7 linked regions of the Nothobranchius furzeri genome follow. The protein of the gene in region 3 interacts with the protein of the main gene of each other region in a pairwise test. Links are inferred from orthologs where the notes say so. Each region holds a gene or a part of one and is shown on either strand. Other genes may lie near its edges.

The links.
Region 1: the proteins of banp (region 3) and mrrf interact in binary tests that used the Homo sapiens proteins (3 or more experiments, as listed by UniProt). The two-hybrid records come from large-scale screens. The link is inferred for Nothobranchius furzeri from reciprocal best matches to the Homo sapiens genes BANP and MRRF.
Region 2: the proteins of banp (region 3) and sp2 interact in binary tests that used the Homo sapiens proteins (3 or more experiments, as listed by UniProt). The two-hybrid records come from large-scale screens. The link is inferred for Nothobranchius furzeri from reciprocal best matches to the Homo sapiens genes BANP and SP2.
Region 4: the proteins of banp (region 3) and map2k1 interact in binary tests that used the Homo sapiens proteins (3 or more experiments, as listed by UniProt). The two-hybrid records come from large-scale screens. The link is inferred for Nothobranchius furzeri from reciprocal best matches to the Homo sapiens genes BANP and MAP2K1.
Region 5: the proteins of banp (region 3) and nrip2 interact in binary tests that used the Homo sapiens proteins (3 or more experiments, as listed by UniProt). The two-hybrid records come from large-scale screens. The link is inferred for Nothobranchius furzeri from reciprocal best matches to the Homo sapiens genes BANP and NRIP2.
Region 6: the proteins of banp (region 3) and cep76 interact in binary tests that used the Homo sapiens proteins (3 or more experiments, as listed by UniProt). The two-hybrid records come from large-scale screens. The link is inferred for Nothobranchius furzeri from reciprocal best matches to the Homo sapiens genes BANP and CEP76.
Region 7: the proteins of banp (region 3) and leng1 interact in binary tests that used the Homo sapiens proteins (3 or more experiments, as listed by UniProt). The two-hybrid records come from large-scale screens. The link is inferred for Nothobranchius furzeri from reciprocal best matches to the Homo sapiens genes BANP and LENG1.

The regions. Positions count from the first base shown.
Region 1 is NC_091746.1:50,179,166-50,183,264, reverse strand, and holds the start of mrrf (ribosome-recycling factor, mitochondrial), read left to right. Parts: upstream 1-1,299; 5' UTR 1,300-1,409; intron 1,410-4,099. UniProt on the Homo sapiens protein: Responsible for the disassembly of ribosomes from messenger RNA at the termination of mitochondrial protein biosynthesis. Acts in collaboration with GFM2. Promotes mitochondrial ribosome recycling by dissolution of intersubunit contacts.
Region 2 is NC_091747.1:67,530,149-67,533,648, reverse strand, and holds part of sp2 (transcription factor Sp2), read right to left. Parts: coding exon 2,974-3,500; intron 1-2,973. UniProt on the Homo sapiens protein: Binds to GC box promoters elements and selectively activates mRNA synthesis from genes that contain functional recognition sites.
Region 3 is NC_091744.1:74,163,874-74,167,946, forward strand, and holds the start of banp (protein BANP), read right to left. Parts: upstream 2,801-4,073; 5' UTR 2,687-2,800; intron 755-2,686; exon of another isoform or gene 672-754; intron 511-671; 5' UTR 502-510; coding exon 432-501; intron 72-431; coding exon 1-71. UniProt on the Homo sapiens protein: Controls V(D)J recombination during T-cell development by repressing T-cell receptor (TCR) beta enhancer function. Binds to scaffold/matrix attachment region beta (S/MARbeta), an ATC-rich DNA sequence located upstream of the TCR beta enhancer.
Region 4 is NC_091744.1:66,078,917-66,081,807, forward strand, and holds part of map2k1 (dual specificity mitogen-activated protein kinase kinase 1), read right to left. Parts: intron 1,773-2,891; coding exon 1,626-1,772; intron 1-1,625. UniProt on the Homo sapiens protein: Dual specificity protein kinase which acts as an essential component of the MAP kinase signal transduction pathway.
Region 5 is NC_091741.1:39,325,507-39,329,006, reverse strand, and holds part of nrip2 (nuclear receptor-interacting protein 2), read right to left. Parts: intron 3,090-3,500; coding exon 3,007-3,089; intron 2,205-3,006; coding exon 2,098-2,204; intron 1-2,097. UniProt on the Homo sapiens protein: Down-regulates transcriptional activation by nuclear receptors such as NR1F2.
Region 6 is NC_091745.1:49,058,745-49,062,244, reverse strand, and holds part of cep76 (centrosomal protein of 76 kDa), read right to left. Parts: intron 3,369-3,500; coding exon 3,240-3,368; intron 3,051-3,239; coding exon 2,862-3,050; intron 1,175-2,861; coding exon 1,008-1,174; intron 398-1,007; coding exon 238-397; intron 1-237. UniProt on the Homo sapiens protein: Centrosomal protein involved in regulation of centriole duplication. Required to limit centriole duplication to once per cell cycle by preventing centriole reduplication.
Region 7 is NC_091745.1:76,666,511-76,670,694, forward strand, and holds the start of leng1 (leukocyte receptor cluster member 1), read right to left. Parts: upstream 2,801-4,184; 5' UTR 2,650-2,800; intron 2,459-2,649; 5' UTR 2,414-2,458; coding exon 2,282-2,413; intron 1,338-2,281; coding exon 1,155-1,337; intron 242-1,154; coding exon 1-241. Other genes in the region: voltage-gated chloride channel TMC4, read right to left, coding at 3,360-3,452, 3,546-3,624, 3,707-3,862, 3,985-4,115.

The sequences.
Region 1 (4,099 bases), on a different chromosome or scaffold from region 3:
CTGCCTCATGTTAATGCAGAATAGACTGGCATTATGTATTCACATGTATGTGTGACTACATTGGTGATTCATGTAGGTCTAAATCTGTAACGAGAGTGATCAGTCAACAGTCAAAAAGACTGGAGGAAAGTTTTCAAGACATCCTTTCAAAAATGTATTTTAATTTATTGTTACTATACAACTTTTCCAAAAGATGTGCACTATAACTGTGTGTATATATACAAAGTTATATATATATATATCTGTGTGTGTGTGTGTGTGTGTGTGTGTGTGTGTGTGTGTGTGTGTGTGTGTGTGTGTGTGTGTGTGTGATTGATGTTCTGCTTTCACTAAAAAGAAAACGCTTAGCATAACATAAGAAAATTGATATTCCACATAAACATAATGATATGTATGAATAAATAAATAAATTCTTGCTTGATTAATACATGTTTTATAAATGAATACGTTTGTCGAATTACAAACAAGTCTAATTTCTATTGTTCACTTTAAGTTAGTTTTACACGAATTCAGTTATTTGGGAAATAAAAAGTTATAAAAACAGTAGAATAAGCCACACTAGGCGTCTGGTGCTCTACAGCTACCTGGAGCACTCAGGTGTGACGCAAATAAAAACTGACATTTCGACACCATGCACCTGACGAAGACACACATGGGGTCGAAAGATTAGTCTTTGTCTGCATCTAATAACTACTTACTCGCCTGAGTGCTCCAGCCCCCTTATTTATAAGTTATGAACACATTCAGCAGGTTTTCTTTAGTTTCACTAGGACTGGGATGACCCCGTTAAGAAAAACTCAATCTTTACAACTCAGTAAACTTACAGGCGTCATTCGTAATTTGTTGAATGAACAAAACCGCGTGAGATCGAAACATCTTTTAACGTGGAATAATTACATCAAAACAATTAAAACAACCCGTGTGTCAAAGTAGCATTAGCATTTAGCTTCACTAAATTACCTCGTTTTTTCAAACCTCTTCAACGGCGACTTGTGCGACTCAGTGCTGCAACTAATCCCACTTTCGGGATTATTAAATACGTCAAAACGTATGTGTAATCATTTTAGAGAACGATATTCCTATGAAATAACTGGCTGGATTCGTTAGCTCAAATGAAAAACATCCAATTTGCTACCACCTGTCAACAAAGGCGCAGGATGATGATGATATTTTTGTAACGTTTGAGGAGTCTGTTGAAAGCAGTCGGTTTGTAGTCTGGCATCTACCTTATGAACTTTCAACGACCAACTATCAGTATCAACGCGTAACTCCACCCACTCGGTGCAACCCGTACAAAGAAACAAACCCACTCTCCGAGAGCTCTGTCGCTTGTTGATGAAGCTTACCATCGACTGGAATATTTCCTCCTTTAGCTAGCATGTGTCGCCTGTGAGAACCTTGAGCTTGAAGTAAGTAATCGTTTTTAGTTTAATCCACAGTTTTATTGTGCCTTTGATGATTTCGTGACCTTAAATTATCAGTAATGTTTTTTTTAGACAAGTAAAAATGGTTGTTATTGACTTGCAGTTAGTTGCATTCACGGAAAAAATGCCTCCGACCTTCAGTCAACAACTAAACTGTGCTATCAGATAGTAGCCTAAAATTCATGGTTTGTTTATGCCTCGACCATTTTTCACGCGATCAATTTAATTAGATATAGGACCTGGTTGTCCTGAACGTCTATTTGGGGGAGAAATATTTAAAAGAGCATGACAGTTATTGGTTTAGTTAATAAAACAATTTCCCCCGATAATATTTTAGTGCTTGGAATTTAAAATGTTATTGTTCCTTTGGGTTTTATTTTATTAATTTTTTAGTTAATTAAAACATTTAATAAACTTATTTACCGACAAACAACAATTAGCTTAGTTCAGGCTTTCTGGTTTTTTGTTCAAAAACTGTTACTATAATTATGTTTTGGCCTTGTAACTGATGAAAAGAACATCATAATGTGTTGTAATATTGGAGAGTTGGAATCATCTATTTTTTCATCCTCCTCTGAAACATTATGGTCTTCTGAGTTTCATAATTTCTGTGAGCAGTTTGTTTGAGGACGCAGAGCCATGCACGAACACTTATCAGATACCCTTCAGTGTTCTTTTCTAAAGCAAACAGAAGGAGCATGCGGGCTGACCAGCTGGCTCCTACTGCTGGAAGAAGCAGAGGTGTGTCTGCAGCTGCTGTGAAATCTACAGGATGTGAGGCTACAGTATCCTACCGACCACCTGTGTTTCACTTTGTGTGCTTGACTTCCTCTCTAAAGAGATCTGTCACCTTCCCACATCTCTGCCCATCAGCTCTACCACAGAGTGGCAATTCATATCAGCCTGTCAGGAAACCTCCCAGCCGTGGCTGCTTGTTATGGGTTTTCACTGGCAGAAACAGAAGAGTAGCCTAAATATTTCCGTTTAGTTGTAGCTAAATTTGTGGACAGAGTCCTGAATTACCAGAAAGGATGAGGGGTATAGGTTAGGTACATTTGTAGAGCATATCTGTGACAGTTTTTGCAATATTTTAAATATCATTGCACTGAAATATCAAGATACTTTTTGTTATGATACTGAATCCATATTTTAAAGCAGTGTGTCAATTTTTATTGAGAATTTACATAAAAACATTTACTGTATTTCTTTTGTGTGGTGCTATTCAAACTCTGCCTGTAGGTGGCAGCAATTTTTACCGCCTTCATTCCGACGGAACAATGAGATCTCGCAATAACACCGGGCGTGTGTCTTGGAAGCGTCTAGCCTGAGTTTTGCAGTTAAATTCTGCCCTAAAAATTGCAAATATCTGTTTTTTTTTTTTTGTACCGCAAATTATCTAGTGGTCTGTCCTGCATCTTGATATATGGAGTTTAGCAAGATTCTTGCTAATACACACCCCTAACAATTTATTATTTTCTTTAGAAATATGTTTGTTTTGAGTAAAGATTTGACTTCTGAAATCAAAACTTTCAATATTTTTAAAACAAACAATTATTTTTCCTCAAAATAAATGCAAACCTATCAGTGAAATCTTTAGACTTCTCAAAAATATTTCCAATTTGTGTGTCTCAAAAAAGAATAAGTGCTGAAGCTCACTTGAACACTGTGAATTTTCTTACAGGTGTTGAACACTCGTTCAGGGTTTCCCTCAGCTCTTTTTAAGCGTGCTTAGGCCCCCACCAGGCCAAGCGTCTACCCCCCACCCGCAGTCACAGACGACGCTCGGTGGCGGAATGATCTGAATGCACCTCCCCACCCACCCCTGCATTCACAGTCCGCCAGGCCTAGCAAGTTTTCTGGGGGAAACCCATGAAACGCAGCTCGTTTAATCAATACATTTTCATTTGGGGGTGTGGGCAAGCTCAGATGTGCTTATTTCAGGAACTAGCAGAATGCCACATTAGAGGACGGCTTAACATGACAGGATTTGGAGCCTTACTTATTGATATTCGGACATCTCGCCTCTGATTGGATAACAGCAACACAACTCTACCACACTAACTCGGTTTGCTCTGCGACATAGATGTTTTAGCTCCACAAAAAACTCTAACCTGGAGGAGTTCTGCTATGTGGTGGCGTTGCTAATGCTAAAAGTTAGCTTCTGCTAGCTGAGATGTTCTCTGCTGTTTCCTGGACGCTAAACCCACAACAGCCTTCCCTGTGTTGAGTCAAGATGGTGAGTCCATGAATGTTAAGTGACAGTGTGACGTAGATCTGTCAGGCTTTTCAAATCTTGTAAAAATGTTGTTAAAGAGGTTTCACCATCTATTTTCTATCAAAGCTAATGCAGGACATAGGTGTTGGAGACTTTTTTCATGTTCAGCCTGCACGAAAAACGCAGAGTGACTGATTATGATCAGAAATTATCATTAAAAATGTGTTTTTCAGTGTAGATTTTCTGCTTTTTTTGGCTTCAAGTTGGAACTCCCCAAAATATCCCTGCTATATTTAGTTAATTCTTCTCTATGGGATGATTTTAATGCAGCAGAATGGCACACGTACATATAAAAGTCATAAATACTCCTCAGACTGTAAGGAATGCCAGTGAGGGAACATTTCACCACAAGCTGTCCACAGCCTCTGACTGTGACAGAATTGAGTTTCTTTCTGTGTGG
Region 2 (3,500 bases), on a different chromosome or scaffold from region 3:
CTTACCCATGGTTGCGGTTTTGAGTAATTAAGGCTGGGAGAGTTTAAAAGTCTCAGGAATCTTTTGCAGGTGTTTAGAGTTAATTAGTTGATTCAGATCAGTGTTTCCCTTACATAGGCGTAGCCGTGGCGGGCCGCCACGGCTGAAATCCCAGCGCCACGCCTACAAGATCCCAAGTTTTATTGATTTTTTTTGCGCCGTTTCCCGAAGAAGCAGCGGGAACTACTCTGTTGTTTCTTGTGATCACAGCCAGCAGGCAGCCTGGAGGAGGAGGCAGGGCAGGGTGGTTACAGCTAGGGATGAGCCGGATACTCGTTTCAGACGAGTATCCGGTACGGATAAAGCATTTTTTACGAATACGAGCATGAAACGAGTAAAACTGGTAAATATCTGTAATCGTGCTGAAGGAAAATCCTCATCGGGTAACTGACTGTCTTCACGCTCTGTGATTGGCCAGTCACATAGAGCGCCCGCCCCTCCCTACACACAAAACTGTAGCCGGGAGCTCAGTCCGTCTGGCCCATCCACGCACACACGCACGCACGCACGCACACACACACACACACACACACACACACGCACACACACACACACACACACACAATAACGGATCTCTCTGTGCTTGCTTCACTGTTGCTCACGTTTCTTCAGAACTCCCTAGGTTTTCTTCAGCTCGCCTCTTTTTCGGTTGAATATATAAAGTTACTTTTTTCGTAACGTACGTGGTGCATTTGACAAGACAGAGCTGAAAACGGCTCGTGCAGGCGTCGGTCACTGCCTCCGCTCTGGTCGTTTTTTTTTTATTATTTTAACTCTCTCTCTCCCTCTCTCTATCTCTCACACACACACCTTAATCAACATTGTTTTGTTTAACTGTGTGTGGGGAAAAATGCCAACAACGTTAGGAAAAATCAGTTTAATCAAATGAAAATAAAATGGTTCTAGTATTTCATATTTCCTAGTTCCTACTGCATGAGTTCAGATGCATTAATTCATGCACTTAAATATTAATGTTCTGATCTTACTGAACAACTTGTTCTGTAATAGTTTCTTTACTATTGTGATCAAAACTATTTAATCTCAGTTCTGAGGCTGCTCTGTAAATAGTTTTCTAATAAACACACATAGCAACTTCTGATCGATCCATATCAATTTCAGACTTAAAATAATGTATTGATGTAAACCACGCCCACTAATTTCCTAATAATAAATAAGAGGTGCATTCATCTGTGTACGTATTCACCTTTAATACCAGTTATTAAAATGCAGCAGTTGCTGGATTGGTGCAGTTCAGAGTGGAGTGCATCAAATAAAACAATATTAACATAAAGATGAGACGTGTCATAATTTCACCACCACCACCACAACAGCTGGAAAAATTCCTAGGGGAAACACTGCAGATGATTAGGTTAATAGCTCGTTTAGAGAACCTTTTCATGATATGCTAATTTATTTAGATAGGAATGTTGGGTTTTCATGAGCTGTACGCCAAAATCATCAATATTAGAAACAATAAAAGGCTTGAACTACTTCAGTTGTGTGTAATGAATCTAATATATATGAAAGTCTCATGTTTATCAGTACATTACAGTCAATAATGAACTTTGTCACAATATGCTAATTTTTTGAGAAGGACCTGTAAGAACTGTGGTCTTTGGGCAGTCCGATGTTGGTTTTATGCAGTTTCACATTCTTTACAAAACAAAGATAATATGGTGTTACTACAGTGATAAAGAAAACATTTAGGTGGTAACAAACAAGAATTAATTAACAAAACTGCTGATGTCTTTCCAAAACTAAGTGTGAAAGCCGAGTGGGTTTGCCAGATTGTGACATCATCAGCAGGTGCAGGACCCCGAGCCGATCTGGTAGCGACACAGGGTCAAGCACGTTTTCTGATGGAAATCCTGTATATTTATAATTAATGTAAAATAATTTAAATTCCATCTAGGGGTGGCCCAAATCCTATCATCCACAGTATTACCAGTAATTATTTCTTCTCCAGAGAATAAAAATCTATCATGTGAAGCTAAATTCGTGATGCAACTGTGGTGTGACTAGTTATTAGGGCAAACATGGCTGAAACCTGACGGTATTGACTCATATCAGCGATCATTTTGTAATGACTCAGACTCTCTTGTGGCTGTTTTATGGGTATTATTTTCAGACTACTGTCACCATAACCCACGCCTTACAAACTCTTAACTTTTCCCACAGACTCGCTCATAACAGAGCATTTACGAGCCTAACAAAGTGGCAAAAACAGGAACCGGAACAACCACTCCCACCCGCTGAACTCACCTTCAAAATAAAACGTTAACCCTAGTGCAGGGGTGCCCAACCCTGGTCCTGGAGGGCCGGTATCCAGCAGGTTTTGTGGTTTTTCTGGTCCAACAGACTTGATTCAGTGGCTGAAACACCTGTGCAGCAGCTCATCAGGCTCTGCAGAAGCCTGTTAATTAGCTGCTGATTGAAATCAGGTGTGTTGAAACAGAATTCAAACTAAAACATGCAGGATACCGGCCCTCCAGGACCAGGATTGGGCACCCCTGCCCTAGTGTTAACTGTTCTAATCGTTACAACAGGTTTGAGGTCATTTGGCCACTCTGGCTCAGCGTAGATGCGTCCTGATTACACGGGGGAGAGGTTTGCTCACCTCTCCGCACTTGCAGGATAAACAGAGCTCCGTTGACCGCCACGGTGGAAAGGCTCGCTGAAACGCGAACAGACATCCCCAAATACTTAAAACCCAGGATGCCAAATGCTAAGTTTAGGGCAAAACATTGACCCAGAGGTTTTCTGACTGAGCAAACTTGTGAGAATACATGTAATGACCGCTTTGAGACGGAGCAACCTAGTCGCTAGCATAGCGGCTAGCCGAGTTACATGATATAAATTTGTTTAAAATGATAGAGATATTTTAAAAAATATTGCCATATTGCATGATGTATAAGTGAAAATAAGTAACTGCACCTGTATGATGTTGTCACCAGCTTCAATTACAATGGTCTCCATCTGCTCTGGGGATGGGGAGGCAGCCTGAGCAGGAGCAGGTGGCAGAGGCTCAGAAGGCAGGACCACCTTCTTCTTCCTCCCTCGTCGAGCCTTTCCAGGTGTGGAGGGGGCAGTGGCAGTCTCTGTGACCACTGGAGTCCCGCCCACCTCTCCGGTCGCCACATTGAGGGGAAGTGCGAGTCCACTAGGGAACTGAACCACATTTGCAGCTGTGTTATTTGGCTTCTGTACCTTAGGGGAAGGTTTGATGGCAACAGTTTTCTGCGGAGTGACCGGCGCAGTGGCTGCAGAGGGGGCTGGAACGGTCACCGGAGAGGTGATGATGGCCTGGTTGGTGCCTGGTATGAGCTGGATCTGGCCTCCTTGTGGCATCACCTGGATCTGTGGAACCACCTGGTACTGAATGTTGGCAGAGCCAGAGGTGTTGCTGCGGGCAGGACCCTGCTGGATGGTAAGGACTATGGGGCTGCCAGGGGATGTGGATC
Region 3 (4,073 bases):
GTTGATGTTGCTTAATTTTCTCTTCTTCTTCTGGGTTCTTTCTTCAGCATCTTCGTGATTGCCCAGCATGTCTGGCATGAACGAGACATAGAGACACCCTCAAACCGACACACCAACACACTTCTTGCTGATTTCAGTTGCTGTCCAGGCATGTATTATTCATGCTGTAATCAGCAGGAGATCCGAGTTGGAGCTGAATCCCAATTCCATATAAAAGGCTGGTGCATAAATCTGTGCAGCAAACAATCGGCAGAGAGTAAAACAGACCCAAAACCTAATTTAGAATCAACTTTTATTTGATTTTGGCTGATAAAATGTTGTTTTCTAATGCTGCGTTCAAGAATATAACTATCTGATGAAAAAAAAGGTAAGTAAAAAACGTCAATATTGATTAATTCACTGTAAAAATGTAACATAACAAGAAATCCTACCAGAGTGGTTGTTGTGATCAAAATCTTCCACTGTTATTTGAACAATTTCATCCAACTCTTGCCCAGACATTGTTCACAGCTGGCATGAAAAGAAGAGAATATTTATTATATAACACATTCCTGTATAGTTGATAACCTATGCAAAGTTTTGATACGCCTGCTGCCGTAGAATTACCATTTGCTCACTTTTCGTTGAAAAATTGGAATACACTAAAGCTCTTAAAGTGGTACTTTACTCACATACAATACATAATCTGCAGTGGTCTCAAGTAGGAACGAATGCCTTGTAAGGTGCACTCTGGGGAAACAAAGCTCCGGTGTGCCTAATTCAGAAACTAGAAGTTAGCCAGATCAAAGTTGAGCTGAACACAGAACGATTTGGTCTCTTATTTCCTGACATTTGGACATCTGTTTGGCTAACAGCAAAGAGACTCTACCACTGGTAGAGACTCTACCATTTGCTTTACATTCTTGATGTTTTATCTCTGCAAATAACACAAGAATAGAGGAGTTCTGCAATGTGGTGGAGTTGCTAATACTAACAGTTAGCTTCTACAAGCCGAGACATTCTCTGCTTTTTCCTGGATGGGAAAATGACAACAGCCTTCCCCATCGTGAGTCAAAATGGGTGAGTCCAAGAATGTGAAGTCACAGTATGATGTAGATCTGTCAGGATTTTTTAATCCTAGCATTTCACTGTCTATCAAAAGCTATTGCAGGAAACAGGTGTACAAGACTATTTTCATGTTCAGCCTGCATCAAAAACTCAAAGTGACCGATTATAATCAGATATAATCATTTTTAAATGTTTTTTCATTGAAGTACCACTTTAACATAACTGCATATAAAAGTCTGGGTGACCAAAAAACTTGTATCACGCCTGAAGGCAAAGCTGTTCACGCTATCAGTACCGTTGATTGGTTTGAGAGCAGAAAAAATAAGTTTTAGTGACATTAACAGCAGAACCATCTGAGGACAAAATGAAAAAAAAAAAGCCTTTAGCCATAAAAGACAGCGGTGGTGCAGAAATATGAGTGTGTGAGGGAGGGTGTGACAAATAGTGGGAGATCTTGTGATATTGCTTGAGCTTGCCCATAATGTTATTTTCAATACTGGACCAAAACAGATACAACTCCCAACAGCCCCCTCTAAAAAAGAGGACTTTAAATGAAATTCTCTCATGAATGATGGAATCCTTCAAGGAATGCTAATCTTTTAATTTTCTGGAGATTTGTATATTCTATCTGTCCTTTAAAGTTAATTTTTCATGTCATTTCTATTAAAGGCCAGTTTTCTAAATGATTATGAACATCTCCACAATAGGGCACCAATAATAATAATATTCTATTCTGAGATATCACTTTCTAAAATTGAGCAAATTCATTAATAGTGGTAAAAATATTACAATTTCTTAATCTGTCTACTATTTTGAATAATTTGTAAAAAAAATTATGTGTTTATTTCCTATATTTAGCTAGGACCTCCATGCAACTGCTGCATGAGCAAAACTGTGGAAACGTGTATCAAAGTATCAATAAATCCTTTATATAAACTGCATAAATTTGTACTTCCTTTTACTCTTCCATATTTTTTATTTTAGAGGAACACATCTCATGGTTTCTGTAGAGAATTAATCCATAAAACAGGCATACTCGAACATCATGTAAACAATAAACTGAGTGGGATTTTGTGATGCAGTGCTGGGCCTGCAAGCTGCAAACGTCTTGCTGATGGTTGAGCTAGTTATTGCCAATCTCCTCAGTTTAACATCCTTGCCCATTAATATATTTTTTAACTGACTAATCTTATTTCGAGAGTTGCTTGCAACGTTTATACTGCAACCTGCAATCATTAGCTTCCATTTAGAGGTCGGGAGGCTCTACATGCAGCAGAAATACCACTTATTTTGCAACAATTTTGTGTGTCATAACTAATTTTGTTGCACCTGCATTTTGTTCAACTTTGCATTTGGATTTGCAAGCTGAAAATTGTTAGATAGCTGGTGGCTAATGTTAGCTGCAGCTACACAACATCCGATTTGTGAGCTTGCTTGCCAGCGATAAAGCTAGATGCGCGAAATGAGACGCTATTTAAGCTAGCTTAGTAGTTAGCATGCTAGTTAGGCCTTGTGGCTGCTTGATAGCAGACGAAGATTTGTTGAGTTGAATACAGCAAATAAAGATCATTTTGATTAAGCCTCTTCTTCCTTTGCTCTCACGCAACAACATGCACCGTGTAAGATTGGGTTATATTACCGTGTGAATGACGAATTCTCGTGTTGTTTGTGGGGATTCCGATAACGGCGTCGTTCCTCGCGAGAGAAAAGGCTGCGTCCGCTCCGCTCCTCTGTTCCTGGATCTGGCCAGGGTATATCATGGCTGCCTGTAGAGGGCGCTCAAAACCAACTGAGAGGCTGAAAACGAAGTCTAGTTATATTTTTAAAGGATCCGTTATGTGTTTTGAAAGGTTTTTTATGCAATGAAAATCAAATACTATAATTAGAATGTATCCCTGCACATGTAAACATAAGAAACTTTAGTATTTATCCTGTTTTTAATCAGAAAATTGGGCTGCATTTCATATTTCGGGCAAGTGGCGCAATAGATATGTTGGATCAGAAGATTCCAGGTTCGACTCCTGGCTGGCTCGAATTGCTTTTTCAGTTTCAAACTCTTCAACTTAACTACTTTCAATAGTATTTATTTAATTTAACAAATATATTTTTTCATCAAACTGACAGACCGCTTGACATGTGACATCACACTGCCAAGTCCCTACAAAAATTGCTGGCCACCCCAGGGAAGACAAGTGTTTTTTTCAAAAGTCAAATTAATGTTCACACAAACCATAAATTTATCTTAATGAAGACGTACAGGTGAATCTCGAAAAATTAGAATATGGTGTAAAAGTCCATTTATGTTGGTTATTCAGCTCACACTAAGAGACCATCTAAAGGGTCAGGAATCCTTTGTAGGTGTTTTGGATTCATTAGCTGAGAGTGTGACACTTTGATTCTTATTGAACCTTTTCAAAACATTCTAATTTGTCTGAGATTTTGAATTTAGTTTTAATAAGCTGTAAGGCATAATCATCACAATAATAAAGACTTTAAATATGTGACTTTGCTGTTAATGAGTCCATTTCATATATTAGTTTCACCTTTTAAATTGAATTACTGGAATAAATTAACTTTTATATCATGATCTAATTTTTCAAGTTTCACCTGTACACGTAAAACCCGGCAACTCTGAAGTTGCAAGTGTGACATTCTGGACACATTAAGCTTGTAAACAGTCCTTTTAGCACATACTGGCTCAGGAAAATGATTTTAAAATATTCAAAGTTGCATAGTATCCCTGTAACACCCTCAGCTTCAAGATCTAACTTTTCGATCATCTGCACAAAGACGTCTTAGACGATCAAAAATTGTAATACCTACATCCCTAGGTTTAAATTTTTTTACTTAAATCGTGGAGATACAGGACTGGATAGCAGCTGCAGAAGCTCATTTTGCCTTCCAGCATTTTGCCCAGATGTAAACAACAACATTCACGAGGTCTATAGATCTTTACTGGCTGGTACAAGTGAAAATAGAATCCTTTAAAATGTTTGGACCAGCACCCAGTGGAATATTACAGGAGG
Region 4 (2,891 bases), about 8.1 Mb from region 3:
GAGTCTTTGGTAGTTATGCACAGCCAGGAGGCAGCATGTCAAGAAAACGAAAAGTGGATATAAGAGACTTCTTTCAAAGTCTAGACGTAAGTTGGAACATGTGACACCCCTGCATTAAGCTCAGACTCACCTCCTCCTTCACAAACATACTCAAAACTAACTTTTACAAACTCATCTCCTCCACATAACTGACTCCTCAGACACAATTTATTCGTATTATTATTATTATTATTATTATTATTATCATAATTATTATTATCATAATTATTATTACTAGTAGTAGTAGTAGTAGAAGTGTAACTTCAAAACTTTTATCATTTAACTTTATTGTAAACTTATCTATTGCAATGTATATTTTCACATTAAAAAGCTCTGAAAAATGAACAGTATTATCATCGTCAACAGATTTTTTTAAGCTTAATGTCAAAGATGTACACTTTTCATTAGATTTATCTTATTTTTTCCATTTATTTTTTGTGTGTTGAAATGCAACAACTGTTTAAACACGTTTAAGGGAAAAAACATATTTAATATGTTTTTATACACTCAAATTGGTAATGAATAATTTACACATTATATTAATAATAATTGTGAATCATACTAGAACCATCCTGTAAATATTTCTGTTTGTTCCATTCCAAAATCTCCCACTGTTTATAGTTCATGCATCTTTTTTTCAGGTGACTGACAGAGATGCAGGAGGAGAGACCGGTGAAGGTACAGCAGGAGAGGCTGGAGGAGATGGAGGACGAGAGCCTGGAGGAGATGGAGCAGAGGCTGGAGGCTCACAGGTGAGGTTGAAATAATGAAGATACGATAGACATAAAATTGATCATTGTGACAAATGTTAGGGTGATGATCATGTGTAAAACATTAGTTCAGCATGTCCTCTAACACAGCAAATGAACAAACGGCCAGATCTCAGGAGGGACCGTTTATGTATAAATACTTTTTATACTTTTGACTAGGCCTGGGAAAGTAACAAATTTTGCTGGATGATATTTTGTCCAAAAAAATTGTTGATGATAAACGATATCATTGTCAACATTATCTAGACCAAAATAACCACTAATATAATGTTAATATATCATAATAATGCAAGTACACCCTTTAAAATGCAACAAATAAACCTTCATTTAACATTGAAATGTCCAGAACCAGAACTTCTAAATGAATAAAAATAACAAACAAAAATTAAATAAAAAAAAGAATCTCACTCCCTGTTAGAAAATGTTGCACCAAAAACAATAAAAAAAGACCCAAAACAATAAATACAATGGCCTATCCATTGTCAACAGCCAAAACTGCACTTCAATAATGATAATAAATATTAATGATAATAGAGTTGTACATTTTTTAACTTTGATATATATATATATATATATATATATATATATATATATATATATATATTGAGGATGGAAAAATTATTGAGATGGGCATGTGACGTGTCAAAGGGTCTTTACATAACACCCCCACCCCAAATCCGCACAAGCCGGGTGTGTCCCCCCCACTTCTGAAATCAAAATTTCGTCCCTGCCAATGTGGCTGGACATGAATGTAAAAAACAACAATATTGACTTAAATACTCAGAAGTGCCTAGTGAAACATAAAGAGGTATATACCATGTTCTCCATGCAGATGCTGATTTCTCCATCGCTGTAAAAAGCACCATAGAAGCCCACTATGTATGGAGAGTTACACTCATGTAGAACCTGCAGCTCCCGAATGATCTGGTTCCTGATGGCTGGTTTAATCTCCAGATGGATCAGCTGGAACACATCAGACCTCCATGCGTTATTCATACACACTAAAATCCTTTGAGCATTGTGTTGCATTGGTTCAAATGTTTAAGCCAAGTGTGGGTAAGTGTATCACAACTAGCACATTTAGTTTGCATATTTACTCTTAAAAAAGGAGCACTTTGATTCCAATCTTACAAACGTAACATGTTTGGGTTTTCATCTGACCAACTCTGGTAACCTATCCTTTCATGTAGCGATGCATTTGTACTATGGATGTTCGGTATTGGCTTTTTTATTGATAACCGATATAGCCTGACTCTTAATTTCTGATACGATTTAAACCAATACCAATATATGCTGCAGCCTCCCTCATAAAAAATAAAGAGAAACTAAATCATTTTAGGTAACTAACGTCCCATCGCCAATCAGCCAGACTTAAAATGCAAACATCTGTGCAAAATTCGACAACTACTTCAATCTGAATTAGACAATTAGCTCCCTTGAGAGAGTTTGGGTTAGAGAAGAGTTTGAGGTACGATAAGTGCATGATAAATGTGTCATTAATGAGTAAAAATCAATATCAATAAAGTTACATTTTAAAGCTTCTTTCCAGAGTATTTCTCTCGGGGCGATGGTGGCACAGGAGTTAAGTGCTCGCCCCGTAATCGGAAGGTTGCAGGTTCAAGCCCCGCTCAGTCTGTCGCTGTCGTTGTGTCCTTGGGCAAGACAGTTAACCCAGCTTGCCTGCTGGTGGTGGTCGGAGGGACCGGTGGCACCAGTGTTCGGCAGCCTCGCCTCTGTCAGTGTGCCCCAGGGCAGCTGTGGTTACATCATAGCTCATCACCACCAGTGTGTGAAGGTGTGTGTGAATGGGTGAATGACTGATTGTGTTATAAAGTGCCTTGGGGGGTTCCAAGACTCTAGAAGGCGCTATATCAAATACAGGCCATTTACCATTTATCCGATGGCGCCATCTAATGGCTAAAAAGCGTATCACACAAAACCGCTGTTCCTCTGTTTTTTAAGATGGCGACTTCACGTTTCTGTTTATAAATGTGCATCAAGGCCGACAGAGATAAAACACGTTGTTTTATGAGTATTTTTCTCATGACATGTTGTTTTTTCATATATTTATATTTTAGAGAC
Region 5 (3,500 bases), on a different chromosome or scaffold from region 3:
AGTCCGTGTTAAACGCACGTAAACGCAGATGACCTGAGATGCGGTTCGTTAATGATGAACACAGGCTTCAAACTTTCTGAACATCTTCTGTTATTTTGTTTGAACAGATTTTTCCCAACAGTTTCAGCTGATTGTCACATGTTATTAATAATAAGCCACAACAGAGCTCAGTAATAAAACATGAGTCTAACCCCCCCACCCCACCACCCCCACCCCCCACCCCGCTCTGTGCCGCAGCTGTCACTTCAGACCCGCGGACCAGCTGATCAAGAGGCAGAAACATAACCCTCCCTTATTTTAATCAACAATAAAATGCAGCAAAGCATATATCTGCAGTTATTCACTGAAGAAAACGTAACTTCTATGAGCTAAATAAAAACATTAAATTGAATAAATGGATCAGGAAAGCAGGAAGAATAGTTATTTCTGTTTTTACACTTTTCATTTCGTTTCATGGCGTTTGTTTACAATTTCTCTTTCGGGAAAGGCAACTCTGCGCATGCTCAACCTATTTATTCGGATTAAATGCTTGGTGCGTATGTACGCACGGCATGATCGGATCATTTCATTTCGTGTCCATGTGAACAGAGATTCGGAAATTCCGATCAACCAAGATTTCAATTGGATTGAGGAAATTTGGCACATGTAAACTTAGCTATAGCCATGTGTCGAGGTGAGTCCGACTATATCTAGCCGGTACCGCTCAACCTCTGCCACAAGCTCCTGCTCCTTCCCCGCCAGCGAGGTGACGTTCCATGTCCCAAAAACCAGTTTCCTTGTCCGGGGATTGGACCGCCAAGGCTCCCGCCTCGGGCTGCCACCCGATCCACACTGCACCGGACCCTTCATGTTCCTCCTGCGGGTGGTGGGTCCACAGTTTATCATAATCTAGATTTTTCCATTGTCACAGTATGGCTCATTTTGGATTTTCTGTAACACAACTGATGCAGATGTTTCTTTTTTATTCTACCTTTGACAAGAACACATGAGAACCAAGTTGGAAACCCCTTTGGGCATGTAATATTACACCAGGCATACAGTTAAAGCAGCTAAAGCGAATCTGCAGACAAACTTGGCTTTGAACGCAAACAAGGTCACGCAGCACTCACCCCCTCCCCTCTAGGATCTTCCCTGGGATACTTCTGCCAGAACCAGAACCCCACAATGCCAGAGGAAACAAGATGGCGCTAAACACCAGTCGCCGTTTTCTAGGTCTAAACGTCTTTAGTTCTCCGTGACTTTAAATGGTGGTTTTTGTTTTGGGACTCTGGTAGTTTGTCCTAAAGCTGGCTGTTTCTTCTTGTCTGATATTATTGAGTGGATAACCTCACACACCAGTGGTGTTCTGTTGATTAATACGTGAGTGCATAATGAGTAATAATCATTTAGGACAACCTTCATGATGATGTACATTTACTCAGATCTAAGTAATAAATATAGATGTGTTTAGTATTGAGTAGAAAACGTTGGTATGCTAACTATAGACACGAATACGTAGAAAGCCCATTAGGTACTGGAAAGCGTAACAGCGTCACCGCCATATTGGTTGGGTCTCCTCACTGTCCAAACCCAATTGGAGTCAATGCAGGGTAAGCAACTGTGCCCATTATGTGCAGCCTACTGTTGCAAAAACCGGTGTACTGTTGAGAACAGATCATGTGGGATTACTGTTAACTTTTCTAACATACCTGTTGGGATTTATATTTATTTTATTTAAATATACTTTAACTGTCATGCCATATCATATGTCTGATTTTGTGAAAAAGCATTAAAATATGTGTTTTTTTAGTTGGGTAAGCACATTCGTCTGTAGAAATAAATGCTCCAAGACAGCGGCTAGCCGCTACGCCAGCTCCAATAGGCAGTGTCAGCCCATGAGTCATCTACATATAGGATGGCTGTGATGCTAACATGCTAAATATATTCTGTAACGGTCATGTAAATTTGTTGGAACCTGTTAGCTAAGGATAGCACTTTAGCTCAAGGCACCACTACACCAAAGTGCAGCCTTCCATCCAGAGAAGTTAACATAGTTACTTTAGTCTTTAAGAATTTGAGTCTTCCAGATGCAGTTAGTTTTCTAACTGATATTCTTACCTTTCACATATGCTGAACATCGGGCCGTCTGTCTGCCCAGCTGCAGCTGCAAACCCGTCACTGAGCTGTTAACTCCACATGGAGAACTGTCCTCACTGGGCACCAGTCTAACAACACACAAATCACACAGTCACACTTGCACAACTTTCTGTGGTTTCAATATTTGGGTAGCTGCCTTCCAGAAACAGATTTTGTTGGAAAAATAGAGTAAAAGCTACAAGCATGTCATGCTGATGTGAACCTGTTGCAAAGCAGGGAACACCCTTGACTGTAGTGAGGCCAATCCTGGGAAGAGATGATCGTTCCAACTTTTGTCTGAGCTGACAGCTGTGCGGGCTTGTTATGCGTCTAGCAAGGATGCTGCCAGAAAATCTGAATGCGTGAAAAGGCCTGCAGAGACGGCCTTCATCTACAATGCTCGGATCTGTACATGAACATTTAGGGACTCGGTGATTCTGATCAGAGAACCCTATTAACTGATTTTAGTCCTGATAAACAGCAACAACATTTTTGTAAACCACCACTACCAAAAATACAGCAGCCAGGATGAAAAGGTTGGTTTTAGCTGATTTTAGTGATCGCCATAAAGCTGTGTTGATTTTAGAATTCATAATTTATATTTCAAAGATTCTTAATCCAGTTGAGATCCATACATGTAAAACAAAAGCTTTTATTTTTTCTTTCTTTGCAAGATTAAGACATACTTCACAAACTGCTCTTGGCAGCCAACATGCTGTTAGAAAACATCTTTGAACTTCTTTTCTTGGATTTATTTATCTTTTTTAGGTATAAACTATTTGATCTGAGCTCATTCTTTATGTGTAGTTGGTTTGTCTCTACATCCCAAATATTATTTATCAATATACAGCAACCGTGGGGTGTTTGCTGTGAAGAGACGGCATTTCTTACCCGAGCCTCTGGCAGCAGGACACGGAGATGTGGTTATGTATGCTGCCAGTGTTGATGGATGCCTTGACTTCGGTCTCACAGCACTATGAGGAAGACAAAAAGGGGATTCTGGTGTCATGTTTTTTCTTTTTGCCCTGGTGCTGCAGCTCAAAAGGAAACAATTTATCACAACAGCTCATGAACACAGCTCTGAGGAGTGTTTAAAAAGCCCACTGATCTGAAGATTTATCCGACTGCTGTGGACTTTTAAATCTGCCAAATGGAGAAATAAAGTATCTGGTTGCTAATTAACTTAGCACAAACTTCCTATTAGTGGACTCTGTACAAACTAGTTAAATTCTGAGCCTTGATCTGTATCGATCCCGTGTTGCTGCAGTCATTTGATGCACCACGTGGCTAAGGTTAAAATTTAAACTAGTTATATGATTTTGTGTAGGATTTGATGCCTTAAGTTGTTTTCTGGCTTTCAGCTGAAGTATTAAGACTTGTGTTGC
Region 6 (3,500 bases), on a different chromosome or scaffold from region 3:
CTACAATGGAGCGTGGCTAGACCGACCTGCAGAGCTAATAGTTTTGCTAGTTGGTCTAAAAGCTAAAGGCTGTTTTAAGATAAATTCATTATTATCTTAGTTTGCAGGAGAGATCGAATGAGAGGCGGGCCAAAAGTGGCCCTGGGTCTAAATGGAACATTAAATGTTAAGAAAAGCAAATTAAAACAGTAACAAAAAGCCAGAACAACCGATGTTTGTGGTAAAATGCGTTCTGACCTGGAAGTCAAAGACGCAGAGCTCTACGGCATCAGAGGGCTGGCAGTTTGCCAGGAAGCTCTGGTGGTTGAAGACACAGCCCACGGTCCGGTACGGGGAAGAAGGCTTGGGTTGGAGGGCCAGGGGAGGTGCGTCTGGATCAACGGCTCGGTGCAGATATCTGATCACGCAAACAGGAAATAAATGTCCTGTGGGCCAAAGCCTGGCTGCTGGTTTCAGGGAAATTTCATCATAAGACTCTGAGTTAATCCTGTTTATTTCTCTCACACACACACACACACACACACAGATAAACAAAACGCAAACACATGTACATACACACTTACGTACACACACACACACACCCTCACTCTCTCCTTCTCTCTCTCTCACACACACACACACAAAACGCAAACACATGTACATACACACTTACGTACACACACACACACACACACCCTCACTCTCTCCTTCTCTCTCTCTCACACACACACACACAAAACGCAAACACATGTACATACACACTTACGTACACACACAGACACACCCTCACTCTCTCCTTCTCTCTCACACACACACACACACACACACACACACACACACACACACACACACACACACACACACACACACACACACACACACACACACACACACACACACACACACACACACACACACACACACACACACACACACACACACACACACACACACACACTAAAACAAAGGACCACTGTGGACTAATTAGGTTTTCTCTGAAATGTCAAAGACAAACGTTAAAAATGCACCTATGTGCCGTCAGACTTTCCCAGAAGGTGATGGTCCCGTCGGTTCCACGGGTCAGGACCCAGGCGTGTGAAACACCTTTGGCTTTGGTGCCCACACACATGTATGCATCTAGACCAAAGCCCAGCAGGAGGCTGCACAGGAGAGCAGCATGGTCCTCACAGTCTCCCTGGAAGGACAAAGCACACAGGACGAGGAAAGTCACCTTTTACGATACCCTAAGTTACTTCTGTCAGATCCTAAGCTGTTTGTGCATCATCCTAAGTAACCTTGGGGAGATCTTAGGTTATGTTTTGATCGACTGACCACAAATCTTGTATTGCCAGCAAATCTTTCTTATCCAAACTGGGGAACAGCAGCACCTGTGATGTTTTAAAACTGAATGAGTCTTTTTGGTGCACTCTCGGGCTTTCTCATATGCGACGAGTCTGCAGAAGAAGACATAACCCTAACTACTCTCATTTCAGCTGAACGAGCCTTCTAGTGAAGAGGCCTCGGCTGAACCGGGACTGCTAGATGATAGATGTTCCACAGAAGTGCTAATGTGGACGGCAGCACCAGAACAGGTGGGCGACTGATGGGCTAAATTAATTTTCCCTGGAATGAAACTCATAAATCACCACTGACAAGGACCACTTTGCCAGAATTGTGCTGCGTCTGTCTCGCCGGCCTCTCACAGAGAAGAGGAACTGAACATTTATCCTGTGGTGGTCTGGGAAACTCCCCACCATCAAGGCAAGATGACCTCAGGAACAACACTGCCCTGCTCAGAAGTTAGGGTCATGCGAGGGCAGCCGGGCCACATTTCTGAGAGGAGGAAGCTAGTTAGTTTTCAGTGCAGCACACTCACCCTGCATGTAGGAGGTAATACAAGTTTTCTATAAGAACTCTGCAGGGAAGCGATGCAGCTACAGCCCCAAACCCACAGCGTTCTATTAAAAGGTGGAAAACTACAGGTCAGGTAAACACGACTTCAACACCGTCCTCTGCAGCCCGCGGACAAACGGAAGCACCAGCGATCTCTGATGATGGCTCGAGGCATCAGTCGAAACATGTCATTTGTATTTTGTAATTTGAATTGCTTTTATTTCTGAATTGCTATTATTTTTGATTTATTCACTATATTTGTACTTCTACTGTACCATGTTCAGCGCCTTGGGCTTCCTGACAGGGTTGAGGAAGGCGCTTTACAAATAAAGCTTTGATTGATTGATTGATTGATGTCAGGTGAAAAACTCTTTTTTACTAAACTGTAATGGATTATGAAGTGAAACGCAGAACGAACCGCGGATAAACGGAGTAGGAAGTGACGCCACCATCAGCGTCAGCTCTGAGGAAGTTTGCAGCCGCGAACGAAACTGTCAGCAGCAAGGTAAAAAGAAACCTTTTCTGTGTTTTAAAAGAGAACCAACAACGCCGTTAGAAAAGCAACACAGCAAGAACATACCAAAGACAGAACGAACCAACAAAAGACCTAAGAGAACGTCATGTTTCTGACCGTATCCGCTGCACCAGGTGTTACACCACTTCCTATGACTATAGAGCGAGGGCTTGTAGACAGAAGGTTGGACCTTAAAACTGTTACTTTTCAAAATGAAGCCTGTTCGCATGGCTTTTACATGTCGTCCACCTTTAAATGAAAAAAGTACCGTCCAACACCACCAGCTCACTGATAGCCCTAACCCCCCTACAGGACTTGGTATAAACACCGATGACCACCTTGGACTCGTTTCTTGTCGCTGGGATCTGCTGTGATGTCTGTTTGTGACAACCTCTTTTGTTACGAGGTGGATGTTGAGAGAATTCTCTAAACGTGTTTCTCGGTCCTGAAACAAAAGGAAGCGCCAGGCACGTACCTTCCCCCGGCACAGGAACGCCAGTAATGTGCACCACTGCTCCTGCTTGGCCCCCCCTCCCACCACTGGAGGCCTCTGGTGAGCCAGCAGGCTGACGAAGCGGGCGGCCTGTCGAGGACTCTCCAGGAGGCGGCCGGCACGAAGGACACGCACGTACGAACACACTGGTCTGTTGACTCCGTTCTCATCCTGTCAAGCGTGCAGACACCCCCCACAAATCAGGGAATGCTCAGAGATTACATTTAAGGCTGAAGTGTGAGAATTTCTCCTCCCAAAACCACGTCACACACTGTAAGAGAGCCAGTAGACCTCAGAGGAAGTGGTCACTTGCATGTGAAGTGCTAAAGAGGGAGGCAGAACTCAGCAACAATAGCTGACCTGAGCAAAGATCTTCACCAGTTTGGACTGGTGAGAAGGTCGGATCTCCAGGAACTCTCTCCACCACTGCTTGGCATAAACCAGGAAGAGCCTCTCCTTCTCTGCTGTCCTCTGTCTCTCCAGGGATTGCTGAAGGGGGGGCGTACGACATCATCAGCAAACATGTTTCCCTCACAGCTCTGAGTTCGTTTCCACAGATCGTCGCTTCATGAGCACAGTGATGGAGTTCTGCTGTAACCATTCAGTCTTAGACCACAGAGA
Region 7 (4,184 bases), on a different chromosome or scaffold from region 3:
TCCTGTTTTTAGGTACTTTTCGTTCAAACACGTCTAGAGCTTTCTTCATTTCGTTCAGGGGATCCAAACTACTCTTCAGCCTCCGATCCTTCTTCTCTTTCTCCTCTTCACTTATTCCCTTCTTTTTGTCTTTCTCTTGACTTTCTTTGTCTTTGCTGCTCTTCAGGTACCACGGAGTCACCTCAGAGCCTGGCTGGGGTCCTAAAGACACCAGTAGGCCGATGGCGCGTTCCTGCTTCTCCTGGATGAGAAGATGCAGATTATATTTAAACAAAGGGGTTTTTGAAAACAGGGTATCTGCAGGTTTAAGGGAGACAAATTTAAGACTTTTTAAGACCTTTTTTAAGGCCACTTTGACCAAATTTAAGCTATTTAAGCAAGGCAGCGGTAGCTCAACAGGTTGAGCGGGTTGTCCAGTAATCGGAAGGTTGCAGGTTCGATCCTGGCTCCGGACAGAGAATTCTGCTGTTGTGTCCTTGGGCAAGACTCTTAACCCACCTTGCCTGCTGGTGGTGGTCGGAGGGACCGGTGGCGCCTGTGCTCGGCAGCCTCGCCTCTACATCGTAGCTCATCACCACCAGTGTGTGAATGTGTGTGTGAATGGATCAATGATACACTGTGGTGTAAAGCGCTTTGGAGTCCTTCCTCTGACAGGCGCTATACAAGTGCGGGTCATTTATCATTTAAGCTATAATTTCCAGCTATTGCCTGGAACCGGTGCTAACCACGCCGCGATCATGGGATTAGCCATCCAGTTACCATTAAACTTGCCCTTCCCCATGGCGCAAGCTCCCACTAGCTTAACCAGCTAACGTGCTCATCTAAAAATAGCCCCCTTTCACAACCAACTGAACGTGTACGGTTCCGCTTACGGCAACATCGTACACAAAAATGCTGAACGCTAACTAGAAATTCATGAAAATTTTATAGAAATAAAAGAATCTTGTTTATTGGGTCTTTGGTAATTTAAGACCTCTGGAAACTGTATTTAAGGATTATTTGTCATTTTTAAGGATTTTTAAGGCCTTAAATTTGGAAAAGCTAATTTAAGACTTTTTAAGGACCCGCGGATACCCTGGAAAAGGTGTTACTGAAGCAAATATAAAACCCCAAAAAATAAATAATCCACACATGTATTAAGGTTTTTCTGTCACCTTTTCCTCTTTCTTTTCTTTAAGATACTCCTCGTTCCCCTTCTTCTCTGAAGACTCCTCCAAAGGGAAGAGGTTGAGGTGCTCCAAGCCTCCTCCACCTTCCTTTTCATCATCATCATCTCTGCTTCCTCCTTCTGACTGAAGAGCAGCTCGAGATTTCCTTCTCAGATACTCTGTACGCGCCTGTAGAAACAAAAAGCTGTTAGAATAAACTAAAGATATAAATAATAAATAGTTATTTTGGATTGTAAGCAAATGCAGCTGAAGACATAGGACCTAACTGAGCTTTTGCAACAAGCTGAAAGCAACTAAATCCTAAATAGCACTGTGTAAAGCAGATTATTTGCTAAATTATACAACTTTGAATTATGTGTATCGTCTGGGACATTTGACAGTGGTACTATTGTTGTGGCTCTTTATTGTAATAAAGTTACTCATGATAAAGTGCTCTTGCCTCATATGTGCACGCAGCGGTTTAGATAGAATCAACGAGGAGAGAGAACGTGACGAAGCTCAGAATGTTTTCAGTTTTTCTTATTACTGAAATCATTGCTGCGGTTTTAATCTACATGTGGCATTCAGATTGTTTAACATCTATAACCTTAACATTTCTACACTTTTCCAAACTCCAAACATCCACCTGACCTTCGTGTGACTGGTTCTTTTGTCTTTCTCCCCAAAAGACATTTATTTCTGTATTTATTTAGTTTTAAATGGTCAGGATTAAAATCTGTGAAACTCTTTTGTTTACTTTTGATCATTTTTCCAGAACTAATTTCTTAAATATTTCAATTAAAGTGCCAGGTACCCTGTACATTCGGCTGATTTGTGGTTTTTCTATGCGTTACAGTTGTGTTGCACTCAAATACATTTTCCACAGTAGTAATGATACTTATATCGCTTATTAAGAAGAAGAAGAAAATATAATTTCTATAGTGCCTCTAAAGATAAAAATCACGAGGCACTTCACAAAAACAAAAATGTAAAAAAATAAAAAAGCATTTAGAAAATGTTTAAAAATATATTTAAAATGAGCAAAAATAGACAATTGTGATTCAAAAAAAATGTTAAGAAAGAGAGAGAGTGAAGACTAATGAATGACCATGCTAACACCAGAGGGGGACTACCTCTTGCTCTGCTCGCTCCACGCGACGCTTGGCCTCGCGCTCCTCTTCTGCTGCCTGGGCTTCATCCCTCCGCACGCGCGCAATGTTGTCCTTGTTGCGGACGTGCCAACTCTTCTTCGGGAGGATGTTCATGGTTGCCTTGGTGACCGACAATTAGCAGTCAGCTAGCTTAGAAAGCTAACGACAAGAGAAAACACTCACTCTGGTCAGTTAATATATTGGTGTATAGTAGAAATAAGCAGGTTATTCGACAAAATGTCTAAATACAGAAGCAGAATTTTTCAAATACGCCCAACAATCAAATATGCGTCGCTGTTTTCTTTCTTTTTAGGAAATTAAGCTAAATAGGGAAGGTCGCTAGTACTTGCCAATGTTTTGTGATGACGCAGAAGAAAATAACGTGGACCTTACTCACTCACATTATCTATTTAAGTTGACTACTTTCCTAAAATATAATAAATGCTATCAATGACGAGCTAACGGAGGAGTAGCTTCTGGTTTGTTGCGCTCACAGGAAGTAGTAGAGTTAAACAGGAAGTAAACAATAATCGTGTTATGTAATTACAATATGTAACACCAGGGGGCGCTGAAACTCTACTGGTATTTGTACAGGTGCCACAAAAATATTTACCGGTATGTCCCAAATATATATATTTTTTGCTATAACCAAAAGATGTCAAAAACAATGTACTCATTATGAAAGGACAAAAAGGTAAAGTATATGTTGGCTTTGGAATGTAGCATTTTGTGAAATGCATGCTCTTTCTTGTTAGCATTTTTGGTGATTCTGCACCCGAGGTTGTTTTATACAAAAGAAAAATAGCCTCTCAAAATCATAAATAAATTCTGTGCATGTTTATTAATTCAACACTAATGTTTAGAACAACAATCAAAATTATACTGACTTTAAATAACAAATTCTCTTATTGTTTCAGCTTCACAACAGAAACGCTGTAAATGAATATAGTAATTGTCAAATGAGATCTAGTCTGGATTAATGAGATTTCTCCCCCCCAGAAGACATATTAGTTACTTCATTATTTAGGTCAGAAAAACTAAACGTGGTCATCGGTTGTGTTCAGTCTTGTACTTCTGCTCTTAGTGCTGGCATCAGATGTTGCAGCTTTAGTCTTTCAATCTGTTTGACCAAAAACTGCTTATCTTGACCCTCCTGAAAATCAAAGACATGACATTGGACAATATTAGCTACCACTGAGGATATTATACAAATGATCCTTGATCTTTGTAAGTAGGAACAACATACCAACTTAAGCTGAGCTTTGAGCATCTCAACACTTTTTCCATAGATGGAAGCTAATGCTACAAAATAGCACATAATCACGCTGGCAGAGAGGAAAAAAGGCACTGTGATAATCTGTAGATTAAATCTAATAAATAATAAATATTTCACAAATGCACACTCACCATGATAAAGCAAAAAGAGGTATGGAAAATGCCTGTGAGCCAATGAAGAAGAGAAAATCCTGTGTAACTTTAGAGAGACAGTAGAAAGAGTTTGGAACAATCTTCCACATGGAGGGGAAGAAGCGGAAAGGCCCACACGCCATCGAAGGGTTGATCCTGTTTGGAGAGGTGGAAAGAATCCTTCTTAAAGTGTTTAGTGATGCCCTGACTGTTCTGACTTTCTAAAACGCTGTTTTGTTGGAAATATTAAGGATAAATCTGCAGCAGTCAGCACTCACACAGCAAGGCTGTAAATCATAACAACCAGGGCCAACGTCCAGCCAAACAGAAGCACCACCAGGAAAAAGAAGGTGGAGGTGGTGGACCGAAACGTCTTCAGCGCTGGCCGACAGTTGTGGAAGAGTGTGATCTGTGGACACGCAAACACAATATCATCACTAATACAAATAATTATAATGTATGTGAGAGGGAAAAAAAC